2 linked regions of the Ovis aries genome follow. The protein of the gene in region 1 interacts with the protein of each later gene in a pairwise test. Links are inferred from orthologs where the notes say so. Each region holds a gene or a part of one and is shown on either strand. Other genes may lie near its edges.

What was found.
Region 2: the proteins of DHPS (region 1) and EIF5A2 interact in binary tests that used the Homo sapiens proteins (3 or more experiments, as listed by UniProt). The two-hybrid records come from large-scale screens. The link is inferred for Ovis aries from reciprocal best matches to the Homo sapiens genes DHPS and EIF5A2.

What each region holds. Positions count from the first base shown.
Region 1 is NC_056058.1:11,115,041-11,120,454, forward strand, and holds the start of DHPS (deoxyhypusine synthase), read left to right. Parts: upstream 1-1,916; 5' UTR 1,917-2,040; coding exon 2,041-2,247; intron 2,248-2,489; exon of another isoform or gene 2,490-2,693; intron 2,694-2,817; coding exon 2,818-2,982; intron 2,983-3,173; coding exon 3,174-3,295; intron 3,296-3,382; coding exon 3,383-3,479; intron 3,480-3,580; coding exon 3,581-3,667; intron 3,668-4,098; coding exon 4,099-4,204; intron 4,205-4,284; coding exon 4,285-4,388; intron 4,389-5,231; coding exon 5,232-5,357; intron 5,358-5,414. UniProt on the Homo sapiens protein: Catalyzes the NAD-dependent oxidative cleavage of spermidine and the subsequent transfer of the butylamine moiety of spermidine to the epsilon-amino group of a critical lysine residue of the eIF-5A precursor protein to form the intermediate deoxyhypusine residue.
Region 2 is NC_056054.1:217,242,777-217,247,743, reverse strand, and holds part of EIF5A2 (eukaryotic translation initiation factor 5A-2), read right to left. Parts: intron 1,869-4,967; coding exon 1,737-1,868; intron 1,503-1,736; coding exon of another isoform or gene 1,476-1,502; exon of another isoform or gene 1,443-1,475; intron 856-1,442; coding exon 796-855; 3' UTR 764-795; exon of another isoform or gene 1-763. UniProt on the Homo sapiens protein: Translation factor that promotes translation elongation and termination, particularly upon ribosome stalling at specific amino acid sequence contexts.

The DNA of each region.
Region 1 (5,414 bases):
GAAGATCAAAGAGTTCTTGAGATGAATGGAGGTGATGGTTGTATAACAATGTAAAGGTACTTAATGCTTCTGAACTGTGGACTTAAGCATGGTTACAGTGGGGGACTTCCCTGTGGTCCAGTGGCTAAGACTCCACATTCCCAATGCAGGGGGCCTGGGTTCAATCCCACGGAACTAGAACCCTCGAGCCATGACTAAGATACAACATGCTGCAAGTAAGACCCAGTGCAGTCAAATAAGTATCTTTTAAAGAAGAGACAGACTACAGAGCTTTCTCTCTTAAAAAAAAAAAAAAAAAGTTACAATGTTAATTTCATGTTATGTGTATTCTACCACAGTTTTAGAAATTGGAAAAAATAAATCAGTCTTTCATTTTAAAAACTCTCCTATGGTTTCCCAGCCCGAGAATAAAACCCACCCTCCTTACCACAGCCCACAGGGCCCTGCCTGGTCTGGCACCTTCTGTCCTCTCTGAATCCTTTTCAACCCCTCCTTCATTCTTCACGGATCACCCTGACGTCTTTGTGTGTGTTTCATCTATTTTTGCTGAGATCCCAATGTGTGCCCAGCACTGCACAGAGTGAAGAGAACAGCAGCGAAACCAGACAAGATCCTGCCTTCACAGAACTGTTGTTCTAGTCAGGAAGGGATGAACAACAGCAAACAGAATATAACGTGTACTGTGAAAAATAAAAGCAAGGTAAGAGCAAGAGTGGGTGGTCAGGGCAGGCCTCTTGGAGGAGGTAACATTTGGATTGAGGCCCAGAGGAGGAGGAGCTGGGGAAGCAGGTGTTCCAGGCAGAGAGAGCAGCAAGTGCACTGGCGCTTGGTCAGGAAAGAGCTTGTTGGGTTCTAGAACAGTCAGATCAGTGGAGCTGGAGAAAAGTGAGTGGGGACAAGTGGTAGGGGATGAGGGTAGGTAAGTCAGTGCCTTCTTAGGCCACAAGGAAGAGCCCGAGTATTACTCTTACTGGGAAGCCACAATAAGAGGGTTTTTCTACAAAAAATTATTTATTATTTTTGGCTGTGCTGGGATATTTCTACCTCATTGCTACCCGGCCTCAGGGTACTCTTCATTGTGGTGTGCAGGCTTCTCATTTTGGTGGCTTCTCTTCTTGCAACGCATGGGCTCTAGGGCACGTGGGTTTCAGTAGTTGCGGCTCTCAGGCTCTAGAGCACAGGCTCAATAATTGTGGTACATGGGCTTAGTTGCTCGGAGGCATGTGGCATCTTTCCGACCCAGGTGTCAAACCCGTGTCTCCTGCATTGGCAGATGAATTCTTTACCACTGAGCCACCAGGGAAACACACAGTATATAGCGCAGACTCCATAAATTGTAGAGTGAGTGATTACAGGGATCTCACCGGACTAAACCCTATGCATGGTTAGGAGGACCCATGAGATTATAGACCCCACCCTCCAGCATCTCACAGGCTCGCTAGAGGGAAAGAGATGTCAGCCATGGATCCCACAGGAGATCCCTTACCCAGAGGAAAGTCAAGGAAGATTTCTCAGAGGATATGGCAGCTCAGCTGCCAGAGAAGACCAGGGGTTATGCCGCATATGGAGGCTCCAGAGACTCGCAAGACACGAACAGCGATCACGGTTCCATTTGACGAGAGACTCTCCGAGGCAGAAACTGTCTGATAACTCCAGGTGATTCGAATTCCGTCTAACGGCAACGTCTGAGAAACCATTCTCTCTTTGAGAGGGTATACACGAACCGGCAAGCTCCACGCAACGCGGTGGGTTTCCAGCAGGCGGCAGTAAAAGTAAAAATCATTCATCGGCGGCCGGGAACGCACGGAATAGAAATAATGGGTCCTCGCGGCTTCCGTATTACGGACTGTACAAGACAAGATGGCCGCGCCCTGGATTCCGGGCGCGGCGAGTCACGTGATTACACAACTTCCGGCACTCCCCAAGTGTTCCCCAGGCCTTGAGTCTCCTGCAGAAGTGCGTGCCGGGGCCTAGCGCAGTTCGAGGCCGCCAGAGGGCTGGCCTGGGGCGGCTCTGACTTGAGAGTGCAGCTGCAGGACCATGGAGGGTCCCCCTGAGAGGGAGGCGCCCGCGGCCGCGCTGGCCGCCGTGCTGAAGCACAGTTCGGCACTGCCTTTCGAGAGCGCGCAGGTCCGGGGCTACGACTTCAACCGCGGCGTGGACTACCGCGCACTGCTAGAGGCTTTCAGCACCACTGGTTTCCAAGCCACCAACTTCGGGCGCGCGGTACAGCAAGTAAACGCCATGGTGAGGCCTGGGTGAGACTTCCGGGGCTGAGGGGGAGTGGCCTCCAGTAGCACCCTGCGGTAGCTGGGGGCGGGACTTCTCTGGGAGGTGTGTTCTTCGTCCAATAGTGGGAGAGAGTATGGGGCCCGGGAGTTTCTGTTCTGGGGAGTGGTTGGGACTGATTCTGGGGCGGGGCGGGGAGCGGGCGTTATAGATAATAGGTGAAAGTATTGTGGAAGGGGCGGAGCCTGGGCTAGAAAGTCCATTTGAGCGAAGAATTGGAGGAGGACCCTTACACCCGCCCGGACCTGAGCCTGAGTTTGCATTTCCCCGTGGGGAGAGGGGTCGGGCCTGAAAAAGTGATGCTCTCGGATTCCTGAAAAGGGGCAAAGCCTAAGCATGTGACCTGAGACTTGGGCTGTGAACAGGGCAGAGCCTACACAAGGGTGTTCCTTCCCCTGTTCCAGGTAGAAGTGGTTCTCTGTCCTTGAATGGGCAGATCCTGGGCGGGGAGTCTGACACCAAAACCCACCGCGGGTCCTTGGGGTGGAATTTGGGGCCAGAGGTTAACTCAGCTCTGCCCATACCTAGATAGAGAAGAAACTCGAGCCTCTATCCGAGGATGAAGACCAACATGCAGACCTGACCCAGAGCCGACGCCCACTCACCGGCTGCACCATTTTTCTGGGCTACACATCCAACCTCATCAGTTCAGGCATCCGTGAGACTATCCGTTACCTCGTGCAGCACAACATGGTGGGACCTGGTGGGGGTGTGGCCTTGGGCTCCCCGCGTCTTAATGGGCAATAAGGTTACTGGTCATTTAAGTGAGATAGGGAGATATGGGTTAGTTTTGTTTTGCAGCAGAGGTCCCCACAGGGGTCACTGGATGAGAGTTGGGAGTTAGGAGTTCTGCTTGGAATAACTTCACTGCCTTGTGGCTGCAGGTGGACGTCTTGGTGACCACAGCTGGGGGTGTGGAGGAGGATTTCATCAAGTGCTTGGCGCCCACATACCTGGGCGAGTTCAGCCTCAGGGGGAAGGAGCTACGTGAGAACGGCATCAACCGGTGGGTAGGTGGGGGCTGAATGGTGCTGAGTAAGGGAGGCAGGCTGAGGGTCCTGGGCCCTGATGCCCATACATCTTCTGTCCCCAGGATTGGAAACCTGCTGGTGCCCAATGACAATTACTGCAAGTTTGAGGATTGGTTGATGCCCATTCTGGACCAGATGGTGCTGGAGCAGAACACAGAGGTGAGGCTGGAGCAACCTGGGGCTGGGGGAGGGTGCGTTTGCTGATGGCATGGTGGGTGTCAGGGGAGGCGCCGCTGCCTGAAGCCAATGTCTCCTCCTAGGGTGTGAAGTGGACACCTTCCAAGATGATCGCCCGGCTTGGCAAGGAGATAAACAACCCGGAGTCTGTGTATTACTGGGCCCAGAAGGTGAGGGACTGGCGGGGGCAAAGATGCCAGGTTTTTGGCATGTGTTGTTTCACTTTCACAGCCACCTGGGTAGTTGGTACTAGTCTCCTCATCCCTGCTCCTACATAAGGAGCCTCAGAAAGAGAAGTTAGGCAGTTTGTCTGAGGTCCTACAGCTATTGACTGTGGATCTGGTATTCTGGCTCTACTCCTAGACTGCTGGGAAGCAGTTGGAAAATACTTAGCAGCTCCTATGGGGACTCTTGGAAGGCTCCATGCTCCTCAGAGGCTCTGGGGTCTAGCAATCAGAAAAACAAGAACTATCATTCTTCATGTGCCAGGCCCAAGTGAAGTTAAGCACCCTGCCCAGAATCAGGCAAAGAAGAGGAAATGCCTGCAGGCTGCCCCTACAGGGGTTAGATCCGGCCCGCCTCCTGTCTTGCTCTTTTCTAGAACCACATTCCTGTGTTGAGCCCGGCACTCACAGATGGCTCGCTGGGTGACATGATCTTCTTCCACTCCTATAAGAACCCAGGCCTGGTCCTGGACATTGTTGAGGGTAAGATGTTGGGGCCCCGGAGGAGCAAGGGAGGAGGGCTGCCTGGGCCTGCAGTGGCCTGACTCAGCCCTCTCTCCCAGACCTCAGGCTCATCAACACACAGGCCATCTTCGCCAAGCGCACGGGGATGATCATCCTGGGTGGTGGCATGGTCAAGCACCACATCGCCAACGCCAACCTCATGGTGAGCAGGGATGCAGGCTGTGCGGCCCCTAGTGAGGGGTGGCACTTGTGCCTGCTGTGCAGACAGGCCTGTGTACTAGGCCCATGCCGTGTGCTGGGAAACAGTTGTGGACTAGACAGGCCAAGATCCCTGCCCTCCTGGAACTGATGTTCTAGTGGGGGAGATGAACAGCAAACCAGTGACAAGGTGACACGTACATCAGGTGGCAGTACTGGCTACAAAGAAAAATCAGGGATGACGACAAGAGGGCAGGAGAAAGGCATGCTATTCAGAAAAGGGAATGCTTCCTGGGAAGTGTGACCTGTGAGCAGAGGTTTTTCAGAGGCTGCTCCCATGAACCATGTGGTTATCTTAGGGAGTGGACATGAGATGAGTTTCTGGCAAGACTGGCCAGTGCAAAGGTTCTGAGGTGCCTGATGTAGGCACATCTTGGAGGCCAGTGAAGGGGAGAGTGAGAGGAGGTGAGGCCAGAAGTGACAGGCACAAAGTGCAAGGCCTTGAGGGCCACTCAGGTGCTCACAGGTACCCTCTGGCTGTGTGGGGAACAAACAGTGGGACTGGGGTGGGGAGTACAGAAAGGGAAGAGGTGCGGAGGTCTTCTCTAGAGTTGGTGGCAGATGTGGGTGGGCTCTTGGTACCTAGGAGGTGAGTCTGGAGCAAAGCCGCCCACTGCCCAGCACCCCATGACACCCCCACTTGGCCCAGGTGTTGACATGGAGCCCTTCCCTTGGAGTGAAGACCACCAAGGGCTTCCTGTATCTGGGACACATACAGTGCCTTTAGCTGTAGTGTCCTGCCCTGGACTCTGTCTGGCTGACCAGCCCATTCTGTCCCTCTCCACAGCGGAATGGTGCTGACTATGCTGTCTACATCAACACTGCCCAGGAGTTTGATGGCTCTGACTCAGGCGCCCGGCCGGATGAAGCTGTCTCATGGGGCAAGATCCGGATGGATGCACAGCCTGTCAAGGTGAGGGTCAGCCAGCCAGCTGGAGCACAGGGTCTCCTAGGCTGCAGCTGTGGATCC
Region 2 (4,967 bases), on another chromosome or scaffold:
AACAAATATTCTGATTTCAAAAAAGAAAGGTCCTATTTTTATGCTGATTACAAAGGCCTCAAATAAAAAGCTACAGCTTTTACCAACACCCTCTGCCACTGTCCTTTGGGCCATCTTTACAATATGACTTGCTAACAGTCACACAACAGTTTAATGCCTCTGTTAACCACAACAAAGTATTAAAATGACCATAATACAGATTATATTAAGTCTGCCAGAAATTTGGCAAAAAACAGAATGACTGAGGGAACACAGGTGGGCTGCACACAGTTACTAAGATAACTGGCACTTTTGATAACATGATTTTTGTTTAAGGATCTGTACTTGCCACACTCAGGCTGAAATTCTGACAATTCCAATCCATAATCTACTTATTCTATGATATTAAGTTTGAAATCAATGCAGAGCAATTCAACTTAAATGTGATACATCAATACCACTGGATGCTACATTGTTTAAAACCCTGGTTTATTTCTCATTTAACTAAAATTCAGGAATGATTTGCTCAAATCACATCTGCTGAAGCTATCGCATCTGTTTCTTGGACTCACATACTGAAAACCACAGGAATGTTATAGTAAAGACACCTACAAAATTAAAAAAAAAAGTCATATATCTCGATTATTTTTTTAAATTACTAATTGCCTACAAAACTAACTCAGCACAATTTCAAAACAACTGAAAAAGAAATGAGGTTGCTTATGAAGGCCATAGCTTTGGTGACAACTTAGAACCAAACTTTAGATCTGTAGTTGATCCAGACCTAAACAGTTTGGTCATGCCTGATGTTCCCATTTATTTGCAGGGCTTTATGGCTACAGCATATTCTTCACTCATTGCACACATGACAGATATCTAGAAGGAAAAAAAAAGCAGGTAAAAAGTTATTCAAAAGGCAATATCTATATAAGATATATTTAATTCATCATACACTGGATAATTGTGGATCTATTTTTCACCCTGCTTATTTAACTTTTAAAAATTTATCTATTTTTAATTGGAGGATAATTGCTTTTCAATATTGTGTTGGTTCCTGCTTTACATCAACAGGAATCAGCCATAGGTATACCTATGTCCTCTCCCTGTTGACCCTCCTCCCACCCCTCTAGGTTGTCACAGAACACTGGGTTTGAGCTCCCTGCATCATACAGCAAGTTCCCACTGCTCATCTATTTTGCATGTGGTCATGTATACGTTTCCAAACATAGAGAACAGACTTGTGGATACAGTGAGGGAAGGAGGATGAGGTGAGTATGTGTGGATGTTTTATACATACTTATTTTGGAAAGAGGCATTCCAAGATCAAATCATCTTTCTATATAGTTTTCTAAAAACTGTGGTTTTTAAAACAATTTCCAGGGAACAGGAGAATAAGAACTATAAATGCAGCAATACTTAGATGTTATACTTCTGAAAGTTATAACAAAGATAAAATAAATCACCTTCACTCTTTAGAATTCCCGTAACATCCTTTCTCATCCTTCAGAATAGTTCAGACTGACCTTCAAAACAAATTTGGGGTTGACAGTGTCTATGTAGTGAAAAATGAACTTTGATACTTTCTTTTGAAACAGGCATGGTAAACGGTATCCTGGGGAAACTGCCTAGTTCTAGAGTTCCTTTTCAACATTTCAGCAGTATTTAACAGGCGTATTTCTTATAGTATTTTATGCTAACTAATTTAGGTCAAAGCTTTTATAAAATAGCTTAAAAAAAATCTCCCCATACGTCTTTACCTGTACATCTTCACCTGCATTATATTTTCCTTCTATTTCTTTGCCTAGTTCACCCTCTGGCAGTTTAAGATCCTCACGGACTTCACCAGTTTCTGTTAGCAGGGAAAGGTAACCATCCTGAATGCATATCAGCTGTTGAAAGAAATTATATAATTTGCACTGATTAGATTATATTTACTCCTTTGTAATTTTAACATGAATTGCAATTTACATTTATTTGTATGAATACACAGTAATACATTAAATATGTCTTAGAAATCTTTCAATTTTGGAAAATACGGACTTACCTTAATCTCTTTAATCACTTCAGAGCTGCATGGATACAGTTACTGATTTAACCATTTTTGTATTAATGGGCATAAAAGTTATTTTCAGTTTTTTCATGACTGTAAACAATATGTTTTATAATTTGATTATAAACAAACTTAAGTGGAAAATTTTTAGTCTCCAGCTCACTGCTAACAACACTAGATTTTTTTAAAGAGGAAAACATTAACTTGTTGATGACATTAATGCAACAAACCCAGTCATCAACCTAACCTGCAAAAAGACATAGTTTTGATATCATTGAATTTTTTTCATTACAGGTATGAGGAAACTGGCAGGCCACATTCATTTATTCTAAAAGCAGGTACACCATCAGTGTGCCTAGAATTCAAAGAGGTTTTATGAAAGGCAACCAGCCAGTACACCAGATGCTAACACTGAGATACACAAAAGGAATCAGAGACACGGTCCCTGGTCCCCTTCAGCCACTATGACATACACAGGCATACCCCAGAGATAGAATGTCACAGCGCTCCTTTATGGCGCCACTGACTTGGGCAGTGGCTTTCCACAGACACTGCACTGGCCACAGGAGATTTCAGTTTTTGCACATGTCTGTAATCTCAGAAACAAAAAGCCACCACAAACACTTTAATCTTTTGGTCACTCAAACATTTGTGAGGTAGCTGGCAGAAAACGGAGGGAGCAAGGAGGCTGAGACAGTCAACAGAGGTTGACTTTCCGACAACCACAGGCTCACTGTTTTTATTTTAGCTCCTTTAGCAACTCCCTGAGGTAGAACTTGTCAATTTCAAGAGTTAAAAGGTTCCCACTCCATTAGTGACTGAACCACATAAGCAAATAGTAATATTGGTATTTTGAAATTTATATGGTATTTTATTTTTTATGAGCAATTCATAACATAGCATTCATAAGCCATGGGATGAACTATAAAGCATTTCAAACACAAAAATGTACAGACATATTATAAAACATCTTCTAAAGTATTTGTTTATAAACATTAAAATAAATTGCTGTAATAAAATTAAAATTTTCAAAAATAAAACTAAGCTATAGAAAAATGAAATTAATAAAAATGAATTATTTGATCTTCGTAAAGAAAAGTCATAAAAGTAATACAATGAAATCCTTTGTCTTTTACTTAAATTTACTCTTTGTTAACATTTAACCACGTGCTTTTTTTAAATCTCTAGTATATATGGAATATATAAAATGTTTCCATACACATTCTTATTCTTTTATTTTTACTGAACTATTTGAGAGTAAGTTTCAAACATCATGACTCTTCAGCAATAATACTGTGTTCTTCTCAAGAAAAAGGACATACTCTTATATAATCACAGTTTATTTTTCAAAATCAGGAAATTTAATATTCAGTTCAGTTCAGTTCAGTTCAGTTCAGTCACTCAGTCGCTCTTGCGACCCCATGAATCGCAGCACGCCAGGCCTCCCCGTTCATCACCATCTCCTGGAGTTCACTCAGACTCACGTCCATTGAGTCAGTGATGCCATCCAGCCATCTCATCCTGGGTCATCCCCTTCTCCTCCTGCCCCCAATCCCTCCCAGCATCAGTTTTTTCCAATGAGTCAACTCTTCTCATGAGGTGGCCAAAGTACTGGAGTTTCAGCTTTAGCATCATTCCTTCCAAAGAAATCCCAGGGTTGATCTCCTTCAGAGTGGACTGGTTGGATCTCCTTGCAGTCCAAGGGACTCTCAAGAGTCTTCTCCACCACCACAGTTCAAAAGCATCAATTCTTCGGTGCTCAGCCTTCTTCACAGTCCAACTCTTACATCCATACATGACCACAGGAAAAACCATAGCCTTGACTAGACGGACTTTAGTCGGCAAAGTAATGTCTCTGCTTTTGAATATGCTATCTAGGTTGGTCATAACTTTCCTTCCAAGGAGTAAGCGTCTTTTAATTTCATGGCTGCAGTCACCATCTGCAGTGATTCTGGAGCCCAAAAAAATAAAGTCTGACACTGTTTCCACTGTTTCTCCATCTATTTCCCATGAAGTGATGGGACCGGATGCCATGATCTTCGTTTTCTGAATGTTGAGCTTTAGGCCAACTCTTTTGCTCTCTTCTTTCACTTTCATCAAGAGGCTTTTTAGTTTCTCTTCACTTTCTGCCATAATAGTGGTGTCATCTGCATATCTGAGGTTATTGATATTTCTCCTGGCAATCTTGATTCTAGCTTGTGCTTCTTCCAGTCCAGCGTATCTCATGAGGTACTCTGCATAGAAGTTAAATAAGCAGGGTGACAATATACAGCCTTGATGCACTCCTTTTCCTATGGAACCAGTCTGTTGTTCCATGTCCAGTTCTAACTGTTGCTTCCTGACCTGCATACAGGTTTCTCAAGAGGCAGGTCAGGTGGTCTGGTATTCCCATCTCTTTCAGAATTTTCCACAGTTTATTGTGATCTACACAGTCAAAGGCTTTGGCATAGTCAATAAAGCAGAAATAGATGTTTTTCTGGAACTCTCTTGCTTTTTCCATGATCCAGCGGATGTTGGCAATTTGATCTCTGGTTCCTCTGCCTTTTCTAAAACCTACTTGAACATCAGGGAGTTCACAGTCCACATATTGCTGAAGCCTGGCTTGGAGAATTTTGAGCATTACTTTACTAGCATGTGAGATGAGTGCAATTGTGCAGTAGCGTGAGCATTCTTTGGCATTGCCTTTCTTTGGGATTGGAATGAAAACTGACCTTTTCCAGTCCTGTGGCCACTGCTCAGTTTTCCAAATTTGCTGGCATACTGAGTGCAGCACTTTCACAGCATCATCTTTCAGGATTTGAAACAGCTCAATTGGAATTCCATCACGTCCACTAGCTTTGTTCGTAGTGATGCTTTCTAAGGCCCAGTTGACTTCACATTCCAAGATGTCTGGTTCTAGATTAGTGATCACATCATCATGACTATCTGGGTCATGAAG